Elephas maximus indicus: one gene and its partner. The protein of the gene in region 1 binds, or shares a complex with, the protein of each later gene. Links are inferred from orthologs where the notes say so. Each region holds a gene or a part of one and is shown on either strand. Other genes may lie near its edges.

Region 1 (7,225 bases):
TGGGAGGTCTTTTGAGGTCCATGCAAACCCAGGGAAGGCACTGGTACCTGCACCCCCCCTCCCCTTCAGAGGTTGAATTTTGGGGTGGGAGACATGAGCCAGTTACTAGTATGATGCTGTTTGCAGACTTAAGAGCTTTGTGTGAGGGCAAAGGGGCTCAGTTTCCAAATTTGTGGTGCCGACAGCTTGGGGCACACATCTAACCTAGGCTAGTAAGGATTCAGGGTCAGGCATTCCTCAATGATCTAGAAGAGGGTAAGGGAGGGCACACCTTCACGCAGAGGAAAGACAGGACTTGGAGCCAAGCATCCTGGGTTCCAACAAGGGTGGCACCACTCACTCACTGGGGGAGCTGGTCTTGTGCCTAAAAGCCTGGGAGGTACGGCTTCCTCAACTGTAAAATGGGAATAACTAGATTTACTCTCCTGGGACTTTATAAGGATTAAATAACGCGAAAGAAAGTACCCAGGACGGTGTGTGGCACATTGTAGGCACGCAACATATTATTCCCGCCTCCTCACTCCCGCCCCGCACCACCCCCCCCCCCCCGCGGGAAGTAGCCAGGCGCGGGGCTGGGCCGGGCTGGTCCAGCTGGGTGGGGGGCTTTCCCTCCGGAAGCCGCCTCCCCCCAGCCCGGCCGCTCCCGCCGCCCATTTGCTGCCCTGGCTGCATCCCTATTAGGCGCATTAGCCGGCCCGGCGGCTCCGGTTACAGACGTCTGAATGACAAAGTGCCTCCATTACCGGCGCGGCCCGCCAGCCTACCCGGCCGGACGCGCTCTGGTTTCAACACTCTCTCGCCGCGGCCCAGGAAGAAAGTCGGACCGCGGCGGTGCGCAGAGCCGGCCCAGGCACCGCCGCCGGCGTCGGGGCGGAGGCGAGGGCCGCGGGGCTGCGCGCGGCAGGTTCTGCGCGGGGGCCACCTCCTCCAGCCCGCAGGCCCTCCACGTCCAGCTCCTGTCCCTCCTCGCCTCTTCTCCGCCCGGGGACACTCTCTCTTCCCGCCCCTCCGGGACCCGCACAGCGCTGGCCGCCCAGTTCCCCTCCCCACTCCGGGCCGAGAGGCCGTTCTGCTGGGCGACGTTAGTCAGCAAACGAGCCCTCGGTCACTCCCAAAGCCTGGGACGAAGCCACAGGTACTGACAGCTCCAGGGATGGGGGCCAGCGCCCGGAGAGGGGCTGCTACCCCGCCCCCATGTTCCATCGCCGGCCTGACTTTGGGGACCCCCCCCCGCCCTAACACGCCGCTCTTGTCACGAACTGGAGCGCCCTTCGGGGCCGGAGACGGAGATGGGACTCAGGTGCGCTGCGAGGAGTCTAGCTCCGACTCTACGCCAACTTGCTTGTGGGATCTTGGTTCAGTCGTTTAAGCCCTCAAAGCCTGTTTCCTTATCTGTAAAACGGGGATTTGGGGGGGCAATACTCAGATGAGAGATGAAGAGGGCCGGGAGGGTGAGGACGCCTGCTCCATTGCCGAACCTTCCCGAGCACTCAGTTCATGGCCACCCACTAGGTCACATCTTGAAAATCGTGTCAGAACTACCGGGGGGACCTGCCGTCCTTTGCCCAGTCGGTTCCTCTGGTCACGGCCGGACAGAATCCCAGGCGTTCCACAGAACGCTGAGCCGGACGCGGGTGGGAGCCCGAGCCTCTGAGGCGCACCGGGCGAGTCGCTGGGGTCGCGTAACTTAGTGGGGGGCGGCGCGCAGCCCTCCGCGCGGACGCAGCTACGGAGGGTACATGGCCAGCCCCGGAGCGCCCCCTGCGGGCCGCCTCCCGCCGGCGCGACCCCAGGCTGCGCGCGGACTGGACTGTGCCGGCTCTGCGCGCCCGGGCGTTCTGCACCCCATCCCAGGACCCGGCCGCCGCCAGACTCCAGCGAGTGATGCCTGCTCCATCGCTCCGGGTCCGCGGCGCTCCTTCAAACCGCCAGCACACGCGCGTCTGAGGAGTCGGCCAGCCTTGGGGAAGCCAGGGAGCGGGTTCGCCCCTCGAAGCGGTCACTCCGCTCCCAGCCCGGCTTCCTACCCGCAACTCCCCGACTGGGCGAGACCGCGAGGAAGAGCGCGGGAACCGTCCCCAGGGCTCCTCGACGCCACTGCCTCTTCTCTCTCTCCTCGTCCCACTGTCCTTCAATGGGCAGGCGGGGCCCCCGACAGCCTCAGGATCCACACTCCCTTCTCGAACCGATTTTTTTTTTTGCTTCCACCTCCCTACCCCCTCGCTGTCGTCCCTTTTCTGCCGTCCCTAACCCACCTATACTCTCCTCGACTGCCCTGTCGCTCCCGAACCTCTCCCTTCAACGCCCCTCCCCCTCATTGTCTGGCCTGTCCGCATTGTCCGATGCCGGGTCCCCTCTGCCTCCAGTCCCTCCAGCCTCCTCCCCCATTGTTCCATTCCTTCGTCTCCGGCTCCGTACCCCAGCCCCTCGCCCCTTCACATGTCCAAACCCCATTCCATTCCCTCTCCTCTCGCCTTGGTTCCGTCCCACGACCCTGGAGCCCCCTCGAGATTCCAGCATTCAAGCGCCTTCTTCCGAAGAACCCAGGCATCCGAGCGCCTCTCATCTCCTGCCTAGAGACCCCTCCCAACTCTCCCCGCATCTCTCCGCGGTACCTGAGGACCGGCATCCGTGCGCCCCTCTTGCCCACATCTTTACCCTGAAACCTAGGGTCTGCGCCCCGAGAACTGGCGACGCTCCTCCATGGATCCCGGCATCAGAGTCCCTAGCATCTAGGACCCCAATGCTCTGTCGTCTCCAGAGCCGCGGCGCCCGGCTCCCCTCGGGGTTCCGATCCCAGGGAAGGAAGCGGATTCCCTTTGGGCTAGCACTCACCCCTAGGAGCAGCAGCAGCAGTAGGCGCGGCCGGTCCATGGCACCGCCAGTGGCACCTGCCCTCATCGCCGGTCTTCCGCGGCCGCTCTCAGCTTCCAGCTCAGCCCACTCCGCAGACCGATAGGGCTGCGCTGCGCTGCGCTCCAGCGCTGGCCGCCCGCTGGAGCTGGCCGCGGCTCCGCTCGCTCTGGCTGCGGCGGGAGGGGCTGGATGAAGCCAGTGCGGCGGCCCCGCCTCCTCTTCGCCCAGCCCGCCCACCCCCGGAACCGCGCCCGCCCGCCCCGCTGCCTCGGGGAGGGGGGTGGAGGGGAAGGGAGGGCGTGCGGGCAACCGCGCCCGCGTGCCCTGCCGCCGCTTCTCTGTGCCCTGGCCCTAGGAGGCTCTCACCCACATCACCCTGGTACCCGGTGTCTGGCCCGCGCTGCTGCGCATCCGGCCCGGATGCTGTGGGCCCAGGGGCCAGGGCGTCCCCACTGCGGCTCGCGTTGCTCTCCGGCTGTGGACCGCCGCAGGGTTCACTCTCTTACCCTTCTTCCTCCGCCTCTGGCTTCAGCTTCTCGCTGGTACCTTGCTCCCTACCCAGCCGTTATCAGCATGTGTCCACTGCCGCCCCACCCTTCATCTGCAGGCCCATTCCCCTCCACTCTTCCTCCGAGTGCGGGGGTTCTCGGTGCAAAGGTCTAGGGAGAAGGGAGGGAGAGCAGGTGGCCTGGGGGGAGGGGGATGCAGTGGGGTAATTCAGGATGGAGTCCACCCCACCATCATTTAAATTTTCAAATGATGGATTTGAAGGGGTCACAGGTATGCACACAAAACACAAGAATACACGGAAACACACTCTGAAGCTCACATATATCTGTGCTTATGCCCTCACAGACACCCACACATCTCTGTGGACCTGCACGCCCGACACGTAAGGTAGATGGAGAATCACGAACATATATGTGCTTCTCCACATTCATGCACACATGCGCCCTCTTGGCCCATGTGGACATAACACTCAGACACATACTCATCTACACATTGACGCATTCACATGTACAACATCAGGTGAATGGTTACATCCGCACAAGCCCTCACATCTATACAGCCTCTAACACATGTGTGAACACAGATTCCTGAACACATACTCTCATACACAAATACATCTTCAACAATATAGACTTCACTAGACTGTGTTTTCATTAGATCATAATCTCCTGGCAGGCAGGGACTATGGCTTCTTGTTTGAATGCCCAGTGCACAATAGCTGTTCAATAAAGTTCTATAGAATGAAATAAATGGATAAGTGATTAGAGGGATTCATAAATACTCACACTCCCTCCATTCACCCATCCATGTACTCTCTAGGTGCTGGGGCAGATCTGTCCCCAGGACCACACTTACCATGTCCTAGAAACTTGGTAAGTCCAAATCTAAGGCCCTTCCAATCCAGGGAATGTGCTAAAGGCACCAAAACCTGATGCTCAACTCCCATCTGCCCCACCCTTTCCTGGTCCCCAGACACGAGGTCCCTGGAGCACAGAGCTGTTGGGGGCTAATCTACAAAGCCCATACCCAGCACCCTCTTCTTGGCCATACCTGGAGCTCAGTTTCCACTCTGGAAAAACGACAGAAGTCTCCCAAATTACAGGATAAGGAGGAGATCAAGAGCACTTAACGAGTAGTTGATAAGTGATTTCCTATATTCAAAAATGCAGCAACTCAAATGCTGTTGAGTTGATTCTGATTCATGGTGACCTCAATCAGCTGAAACGAATTCATTCATTTATGAAAAAAAAAATCTGCCCTCTGAATTTCTTTCCAACATGACCAATGAAGTGTGGGGGACAGCCCCAGAAGGGCTCAAGTGGACATCATCTTGAGAATAATGTTGGTGACGAGCCACCGTCTCTATGGCTGGGCGTGTGAGCACCTCTTCAGCAGCCCCAGAGGATTCATCTCTCCTGGACAGGGGCAGCCTCTAAGATGCCTCCTCCTCCCACTGCTTTTATGGACCTGCCTTTCCTCTCAGTGGAATTCATGGAAGACAGGAAGGGGCACCATTAGTATTAACAGCAGCATCCAGCTGCTTACTACCAAAGGTATCAACAGTGTGGCATTAATTTAAACACTTCTGTTATTAATCTATGATCCCAGTTACTATTATTGCCGAGGTTATCCATCTCGACACAACTTAATATGACCCACGGTACCATGGCTGGGCCTGGGTTATTAATAATTTCCATGGTCTTGATCATGTAAGCCTTACTCGGACAATTATAGACAGAAATTGTTGCTATGATTAACAGTACTCCCGTGATTAAGCCCAGCACAAGACCACAATGTAATGTTGAGTGTTGGCTTGAAGTGTGCAGAGGGAAGAGCACTGCCCTAAGAGTCAGACTGGTCTGAGTATGGATGCCTGTTCCCTCTCCAAGTCCCCACTGATTTCTTTGTAGTCTTAGGTTACTTCATCTCTCTTGGTCTCAGCTTCCTCATGTATAAAATGGGAATTTAAAAGATCCTATCTTGAAGGGGCATGATGAGGATTAAATGAGGTAACATAGTGTCCACTACAAGGAGGCACTCAATCCCCTAGTCTTCATTCAACACATACCTACTGAACACCTGCTATATGTCACATACTGTTCTGGGCACTGGGGACTCAGCAGTGAACAACAGAAGCTGCCCTCATGGAGCTGATGCTCCAGTGTGTTAGTTATTTGATATGAAAGGTTATTTTATAATGTGACGCCTTGGCCTGACCATACTGTAGACAGCAGAGCTGTGATCAGGGTATTCCTTTGCTAGGAATCACTGTGATGACTACCATCGTTACTGTTGTCACCATAACAACCACCTACACCAACACCAGCAGCACTGTGACTACCATCACCACAACCACCAACGCCAGTACCACCATGACCACATGACTATGACTATCACTGTCAACATTACTACCAGAACCTCCACAACTATCACTACCATCACTACCACAATCATCACAACCACTACCGTGACTACCACACCATCACCACCACCACCACCATCATCACCACCACCATGAATGCCAGGGCTATAGCCACCACCACCACCCCTACCTTCCTTCATCTGCATCACCACAAACAGCAGGGATTACTGTTTCTAATGAGAATGGCTTTTTTCTGGGTGCTTGGGTCTGTCTCAATTCCTAGGAACAATATCAGAGGTCCCATGGAGCTCTGCTTGCTTGACCTAACTCCCTAGTGGTCCTGACTCCTAGCCCCAAACACAAACACTCTTGAAGGATTTCTCCCTGGCCTGGCAAGCCACACTCTCTCTTTAGTCCCCTTTCCACAATTCTTCAGCACTTGCAGCCACAGCTTTGGAATAGGGCATGGGAGAGGGATCTGAGGAGTTGACCAGCAAGTGGCATCAGACAGGTAGTAGAGGGCAGCAGTTTTCCTGGAGGGCCCCCAGAACCTACTGCATATATAGAGGGCCTCTCTCCCCACCACATACAAGCCAAGGCTTTCTTGACCTAAGCATGACTCCAAGGCAAAAGGGTTGAGAATATCAACGCAATTCTGCATGGAGCTGGGAGTAGTTTTGGTAGGTCAAACTGCATCTTCAGTAATCAAAATGGGAGGGGGCTTATGTCTCCTCTATTCATCTTACCACCCCACGTTTACCATACCCCTCCAGGAGGGCAAGCTCCCTGACACGCTCTTCCTGCTCTCCCCGTCCATTCGGAGACCCCACCTCAGCCCCTCTGCGGAGCACCACTCACAGCTCCCTGTGCCCCTGTCCGCAGGAGTCATTGTGGAGCCAGCCTACAGCCACAACCCACTTCCATGCAGAAATGGGCAAGCAGAGAATGAGAACTCACATTTATTGAGATCTCCTATGGACCGGGAGATCTACACAATCATCCCCATTAATTCCCACTGCAATTCCATAAAGGAAGTACTGGGATCACCATTTTACAGATGAAGAGGCTGAGGTTGGAAGAGGTTAAGCCACTTGCCCGAGGGCCCCCAGCAGGAAGCAGCAATACCATAAATGGCCACCGTACTCCACAAGGCCCTTCACAGCCACACTTCTTGCCATTAACCTCCCTATTTCCAGGCCATTCCTCCCACCATCCCAGCTCCTCTAGCCTTCATCCCAGCTAGATGACGAGCAGTCACCTCTGTGGGCCAGAATCTCAGAGGTGCTAAGCTCTGCCCTTCAGCACTATGGCTCAGATGCCCCTTTGGATCACCACTTCCAACACGCATTCACAGGGTCTGGATTTGGGGCCCAGGTAGCAGGGACAGAGGCGAGCCAAGGGAGTGATCTTTGCCTTTTGATTAAAGGCATGGTTCCTGAGCTCTATTAGTGAGCTCACGCTTTTCCTGATTTGGGGAGCATCATCTCCCCTGCGCCC
Region 2 (7,083 bases), about 28 Mb from region 1:
TACGTCCGTCTGTCCCTCCCTGTCTTCCTCCCAGCCAGGGCTCAGTCCTTCCAGTCCTTTTTGATGGTGAGGTTCCACTCCCAAGACAGGTGGTCTGTCTTGTCGTCATCCGTGAAGTGGGACTTGACAGTGTAGCTGCCCCGTGCCAGCATGCCCTTGGGTGCCTCCTCCATGGGGGTCAGAAACTCATACTCCTCTGCCCGTGGCCCGTAGCTGCCCACCATGTAGTCGGTCTTGTCAACTGCAGCCACAGGGACCCCCCCATCAGTGCTGCCCCACCTCCTTCCACCCCCTCCCACCCCACCTGTGCCGGGGTGGCTGTCTGGGGGAGGGCAAGGCACAGAAGAAACACAGGTGCACTCACTCTTAATGCCTTTCCTGTAGGTGTGCTGGATGTACTTCATGCCAGACACAATTTCTCTGTTCACCTGGGGACAGCAGCCGGTCAGCCCCTCAGCCAGCCCGGCCCTCCCTGCAGCCCCGTACCGGCAGCCCCCACCCTCCTTACCCGGAAAGAGATTTTTATCCGGTATTCCACGCCTTCCTTAAGTACGAACGACTGCTTCTTGAAGCTCTCCAGGTCTCCTGCGGACAGAGACTCTCAGAGAAGTCTGTGGTTCATCCTATACACCTCAGACCTGCATCAGCCTAGTCCCTCCATGCCAGCACATGGACACACATGCCCCGGTGCAGGCACCCCAACTCTTCAGGCTGTTCCGGGGCCAAAACCCTTCAAAGGCCACCTGGTTGCAGCTGATGTTCCCCACCACAGGGCACCAATGCTCAGGGAAAGCAACAGGGTGCCACCGGCCCCACCCAGGAATCCTGGCTGCCACGCACCTGTCAGGTCCAGTTCCAGGGGGCCTGGGGCGGTGCTGCACACCAGGGTCAGCCGTGTCACGATGACATTGGGGACGTTGGGGTCTGGGGATGGACAGAAAATCAGCGCCCCAGTCCTTGGTAACCCACGAGGGGGGCGGGACGCAGGGGAAGCAGTGGCCTCACCAGCAGAAATGGCTGCGTGGCCCAGCAGGACCTCCTTGTACTTGGTAACCCACCAGAGCAGGACAGGGGGGCAGCAGATAAAACTCAGAGGAAAGGCTGCCTGGGGGAACAGTGGGGTCCTCACCGGCAGACACGGCCACGCGGCCCAGCAGGGCCTCCTTGTACTTGCGCAGACTCTCATCGTCCTTGTCCAGCTCCTGGATCTCCTGGATGCTCTTCTGGGCCGGTGGCTTGTAGTTAACCGAGTGCTCGTCCTCCTCATTCTCAGCTGCAATCTGTGCCAGCTGCTCAGCGGTGGGCTCCTGCTCAGCCATGCTCACTCACCTCTGGGATGCCTGGGGGTCGGCAGGAGCTGTGGCAGCCTGGAGGAAAGCCTGTGCCCCCTGGGACCCTGCCACTAAAGAAGCCAGCCCTCCAGCCCCCTGCAGGCCACTCCTAAAGGAGGAAAACAGGAAGGGGGCTCCTGCTGCAGCCAACGTGTGCCTGAGGAACAGAGAGTGCCCAAGGAACAGCTTTCTGCAACTCAGAAAGAACCCACATGTATCCCAGGCCTGCCCACCTCAGGGGAGTCATGCTGGGGGGGGAGGGGGCGTGGGCAGTGCAAGGCACCACGCAGACAAGGCACCCAGGACTGAATGGGCACCACTGCCCTGCTCCCTCAGGGACCCAAGGGAAGGGGGTGAGGCTGGGGCACCTCATGACCTAGCTACTCCCAGAGCCACCCGGCAGGGCCTGAGTGGATCACCTCTAAAGACTCGGGATATTGCTGCCCAAGCCCGCTGCCATGACCCCCACCGGTCAGTGAGCTCAGCCTCCCTGTAAGGGCCACTCCTCTGACCCAGACCCTACCCCCCATAATGAAACCTTTAAGCAGAACACAGGCTCCGACTCAACCTGCTAACATCAAGCTCTTCTGGAGCTCAGCTCCACAGGGGCCTCCGCGGGACACGAGGCCAGCCCCAAGTTTCTGCCAAGGTTCCCTCCAACTGTGTGAGTTTGTGACCAAGAGTCCCCAGAAAAGTCACACGGGGCTTTCCCGCTAGGGACCCACATTCTGCTCCCACTGGAATTCTCCAACCGGGATTCCCCAACGTTTGCTGAAAACCCGCTCAATCGTTTCAAGCTCTCAGGCTTTTCCGGGAAAAGTAACCAACCCCAGAAACAGGCCTACTTCAAAACTGGGATGCACGTAGTGGCCCCAGGGTTGGGCCTCGGAGCCGCCGCAGGCCCTCCCTCGCCTCCCGCTCGCTGCCCCCCAGGATTCCTCTAGGATTTCTTGAAAGGCGCGGGCCCGGGGCGCAGCAGGGTGGCCTCAGGGCAGCTCTGCCTCGAGAGCGCGCGCCCCGCCGCCAGCACTTCCGTGCGGCCCTGCAATCTGGGCGGGCGAGGCCCGGCGGGGCGCGGCGGGGCGGGGCTGCCGCGGTGCACGAAGACCCGCGCGCCCCACCGCTGGCGCGCCCCGAGGGTCCACAGGCCCCGGGCTCTGCCAGCCGCCTCACGTGCCGGATGCGGGGCGCATCAGGCTCGGGTGCAGGCAGGTGGGTGCGCATCGGCGGGGCCGGGCAGCCAGCCGGATGGCCACAGCGAGGCCCCTCCCCGCCTCAGGCGCTTCCTCCCTGGCTCCGCGCCGCCTCCGCCCCGGACGGCACGTGCGGCCGCCGCCAGCCCGGGGTCCGCGCCCTCCGCTCCCCGGCCACCGCGCGGGCCAGGCCCGATTGTCACCGCCGCGCGCAGCGCCGTCCTCGCGCCCGGATCCCGCCGGGATCCCCAGGCCGGGCCGCAGGGCGGGGCAGGGCGGGGCTGCGGAAACAAAGCCGGCGGCGCGCGCCCCTCACCCGCCCGCGCGGCCCCATCTCGTCCCGTCCACCGCCCCGCCACCCCGCCGCCCGCGGGCACTCACCGGAGGGTTCGACCGCGCGGCCTTTCGCTCCCTCCCGCACGAAGTGACGAACGTCGCGGCGACCCACCCGCCTGCCAGCCCGTTTGTCACTTCCGGGGTCACGCGACTTCCGCTCCCAGGCGGGCTGGGCCACACCCGGGGCGCATGCGCGGGCAGGGCCGGGTCGGAGAGCGCATGCGCAAGGCGCGGGCGTGCGGGTGGCGGCCAGGAGCGCGTCGCCGCCATCTTGGGCTGGGGCTTTGCGGGGCGGTCCCGCGTGGGCGGGCGGAGGGGCTGGGCCGGAGACCGGATGCGGCTTTGTGTTTTCTTCTTTGCTTCTGATATCTGGGTGCTGTGACTCTCTTGGTTGCTTAAGCACCTCGGGGTACGGCCTCTCGGCCGCCGCGCCCTCCTTCACTTTTTGTAACGAGATGTGCAGAGACGGTGTGACCGAGCTCATGTCCACCGCCCAGACTGAGCAGCTTTGTCGATTATATTGATCTATTAACTGAACGTTTTGATACAGCTTGCTTTTAACCTGGAAGCATTTAAAATCACAGGTCATGTTATCGCCCTTCCAGGCAATTAACACGCATCTTTAAAATAAGCGTGTCCCTTCACGTACACACGGTTGCAGCATCACACTGAACCCAAAAGCCCGCCATCCACCCCAAATGTTTCTCCCAGAGGGTCGCCCTAACTGGCCTTTTGTCCTCCAACTCGGACCGTCCGCATCGCATTGCTCCTCTTGGTGCCACCTGGCAATGTCCCGTGTCCTGAGGCTTCCTACGAGCTTAAGTGAGCACTCAGCATTGGGTTAGGTTCTGAGGGAACGCTGGGGAGACGGTTCCCAGGCGTCTGGTCAGGTCCCTGCGTGTGGGCCACAGTGTCCCCACTGCCCTGCCCTGTATACTGCTCGTGCTGATGAGCAAGGCCGTGGATACCAGCATCTTCTGGAAACCACCCACACCTAGCCAAGGGCCTGAACCTTTGCTGACTGTCCACACCTTGCAGAGGCCCGAGGCTTCTCCTCTGCCAGTCTCTCCTTTCAGCCCCTTCAGGGCCGACTTCGAATCACAGGGTTCTTCAAGCCCAGCACACTGTCTTCTTCGCTGGGGGATCACTTCAGAGGCATCCCATTACCGAGCAATTCCATGATTGTCAAGTGAAGGAAGTTCCTGGCACTGATGCTCCGCCTCACCTACACCACAGGCCCTGACTCCCTCACCACATCCCAACGCTGGGTGCTGGGTCTCTTTCACTTATTGGTGTCCAAGGCTGGAAGGGCATATATTCTAAATGTGGTTGTTGTTAGGTGCCCTTGAGTTGATTTCTACTCATATCGACCTCATGTGACAGAGTAGAACTGCCCCAAAGAATTTTCTTGGCTATGTACAATCTTTATGGAGCAGATCACCAGGTCTTTTCTCCCAGTCTGTGAGTGGGTTGGAGCTCCCAACCTTGCAGTTAGCTGCTGAGTGCTTAATGGTTGCACCACCAGGGCTCCTGTCTTAGTTATATAATGCTGCAAGTAGACTAGAAGTCCAAATCCAGAGCACCACTTCCAGGGGAAGGCTTTCTCTGTCGGTTCTGGGGGAAGGTCCTTGTCATCAATCTTTCCCTGGTTTAGGAGCTTCTCAGCACAGGGGCCCCAAGTCAAAGGACGCACTCTGCTCCTGACGCTTCTTGCTTGATGGTACTGAAGCCCCTCTCTTCTCTGCTTGCTTCTCTCCTTTATATCTCAAAAGAGATGAACTCAAGATACAACGTAATCCTGTAGACTGTGTCCTGCCTCATTAACATCATACCCAACCCAGTGCCGTTGAGTCGATTCCAACTCATAAATCAACATCATAGACGTTAGGATTTACAATACATAGGATAACTACATCAGATCACAAAATGGAGGGCAACTGCGCAGTACTGGGAATCATGACACATATTTTGGGGGGACATAATTCAATCCGTAACAGCTTCTTTACATTCTGGATACAAGTCCATTGACTTTATGATTGCAGATATTTTCTGTAGCTTTTTTAAAATTATTTTTTGTTGAGAATATACACAGCAGAACATATACCAATTCAACAGTTTCTACATGTACAAATTCAGTGACATTGATTACATTCTAGTTGTGCAACCATTCTCACTTTTTTCTGAGCTGTTCCTCCTCCATTAACATAAACTCATTGCCCCCTGAGCTTCTTATCTAATCTTTCAAGTTGCTGTCATCAATTTGATCCCATAGATTAATCTTAAAAAAGCACAATGCTCAAGGCAAATGTTCTTTACTAGCTATTGTTTGGTTTTAAGATGACTTTAGGGGATATTTTTGTTTTAAGGTTTAGATAATCTCAGGGCAATCATTTCAGGGTTCATCTAGCCTCCATGGCTCCAGAAAGATTTGGATTCCATGAAAATTTGAAATTCTTCTGCATTTCCCCGCTTTAGACCAGAATTCTTCTATAGAATCATTGATTAAAATGTTCAGTAATGGCAGCAGGATACCATCCAGTTCTGGTCTCATAGCAAAGGAGGCAGTTGTTCATGGAGGCAATAAGCCGCACATTCCATTTCCTCCTTTCATTTCTGACTCTTCTTCCTGTTGCTCCAGGGGAATAGAGACCAATTGTTGAGCCTTGGATGTTTGCAAGCCTTTAAGACCCCAGGCATCGAACTAGGAGGTTGAACAGAAGCACTAAACACATTATTAGGACAGTTAACTGGGATGTTCCATGAAACCATGACTCTAAACCTCCAAATTAAGGAACCCAATTCCATGAGGTGTTCGACAGTACATAAGCAGCCTCGGCAGCTTTTTTTTTTTTTTGGTCATTGTAAATGTATCTACTACACTTTTACCAATTCAGCTTTTTACAGGTGTACAACTTATTGACAGCAACTACATAAATCTACTGTGCAACCCTACCCTTCATGAGATTTTTCTATCACCATAAACTGAAACTCAGTACAGGTAGTCCCCAACATCATTGAGTTACCATTTTTTTTTTTTAAATACATCTTATCCTTAGCAATAGGTATTACATACAATGTTGCAATGTGTACTTTGCTGACGTTATCATGCTCAGATGTTCACTCACAGATGTTCAATGTTGTAATTTGCTGTTCACAAAACTGCTGTACAGCAGGCTATGAAAACTAAAAAAAAAAAAAAAGTATTCAACTTATGTCAGAACAGACTCTTACAATGGCATTATCGGACCAGAACCCCAACCTAAGCTGGGGACTCCATAAGCAATAATTGTCTTTCATTGTCTTAATGGTGTCTTTTGAAGGGAAAATTTTTATTTTCATGAAGTCCAAATCGTCAACTTCTTCCTTCATGTTTCTTTCTTTTGGTGTCATTGCTAAGAACTCTTTTGCCTAACCTAAGGTCGTGAAGATTTTTCCCTGTATTTTCTTCTTTTATAGTTTCAGCTGTGGCATTTAGGTCTACAATCCATTTTTTTGGTTAATTTTTGTATTTGTATATGGTGTGAAGTCAGTGTTTCATCTTTGTCCCATCACCATTTGTTGAAAAGACTATAATTTCCTCCACTGAACTGTCTTGCCACTGGTGTTGAAAATTTATTCACTGTAGACATAAGGGTTTATTTCTGAACTCTCAGTTCTGCTCCATTTAGTCCACATCCTTATTCAATATCAAAACATCACGATGACTATAGCTCTATCATAAGTTTTGAAATTAGGTAGTGTAAGTTTCTAACTTCATTCTTTCCAAAATTGTTTTACCTATCCTAGGTCCAGTGATTTTCCATATAAATTTCTTAAAATCAGCTATTAATTTCTCAAAATAAAATCCCAGTGGGAATTTGATAGGGATTGCACTGACTCTACAGGACAATTTGGTAAGAACTGCTATCTTAACAATATTGAGTCTTCCAGTCAACGAACAATTCTGTGCATTTGTTTGGGTCTTCTTTAATTCAGCAGTATTTTGTAGTTTTCAGCATATACAGGTCTGGCACTTTTGTTAAATTTGTTCCTCAGTATTTTATTCATTTTGATACTGTTGTGAGTGGCATTATTTACTTAATTTCATTTTTTTGACCATTGTCTGCTCAGATATACAACTGATTTTTGTATATTGACGTTATTATTCTTGTGACCTTGCTAAACTTGTTTGCTAGTTCCAGTAGTTTCTTGTGTGGATTCCTCAGGATTTTCTACACGAAGAC

Evidence for each region. The genes of interacting proteins can lie anywhere in the genome.
Region 2: the proteins of NGFR (region 1) and ARHGDIA are in contact, whole or in part, in an NMR structure (PDB 8X8T), measured with the Homo sapiens proteins. The link is inferred for Elephas maximus indicus from reciprocal best matches to the Homo sapiens genes NGFR and ARHGDIA. Residues at the interface, in NP_002498.1 of Homo sapiens: Arg274, Trp275, Ser277, Cys278, Lys279, Gln280, Lys282, Gln283, Gly284, Ala285, Ser287, Arg288, Pro289, Val290, Asn291, Gln292, Thr293, Pro294, Pro295, Pro296, Glu299, Lys300, Leu301, Ile307, Ser308, Val309, Gln312, Ser313, Asp316, Gln317; in NP_001172006.1 of Homo sapiens: Ala8, Glu9, Leu11, Ala12, Gln13, Ile14, Ala15, Ala16, Glu17, Asn18, Glu19, Glu20, Asp21, Glu22, Val25, Pro30, Ala31, Gln32, Lys33, Ile35, Gln36, Glu37, Ile38, Gln39, Glu40, Leu41, Asp42, Lys43, Asp44, Asp45.

Annotation. Positions count from the first base shown.
Region 1 is NC_064837.1:44,082,813-44,090,037, forward strand, and holds the start of NGFR (tumor necrosis factor receptor superfamily member 16), read right to left. Parts: upstream 3,008-7,225; 5' UTR 2,902-3,007; coding exon 2,836-2,901; intron 1-2,835. UniProt on the Homo sapiens protein: Low affinity receptor which can bind to NGF, BDNF, NTF3, and NTF4. Forms a heterodimeric receptor with SORCS2 that binds the precursor forms of NGF, BDNF and NTF3 with high affinity, and has much lower affinity for mature NGF and BDNF.
Region 2 is NC_064837.1:71,666,374-71,673,456, forward strand, and holds the start of ARHGDIA (rho GDP-dissociation inhibitor 1), read right to left. Parts: upstream 3,014-7,083; 5' UTR 2,906-3,013; intron 1,341-2,905; 5' UTR 1,320-1,340; coding exon 1,130-1,319; intron 925-1,129; coding exon 841-924; intron 586-840; coding exon 509-585; intron 429-508; coding exon 365-428; intron 242-364; coding exon 42-241; 3' UTR 1-41. UniProt on the Homo sapiens protein: Controls Rho proteins homeostasis. Regulates the GDP/GTP exchange reaction of the Rho proteins by inhibiting the dissociation of GDP from them, and the subsequent binding of GTP to them.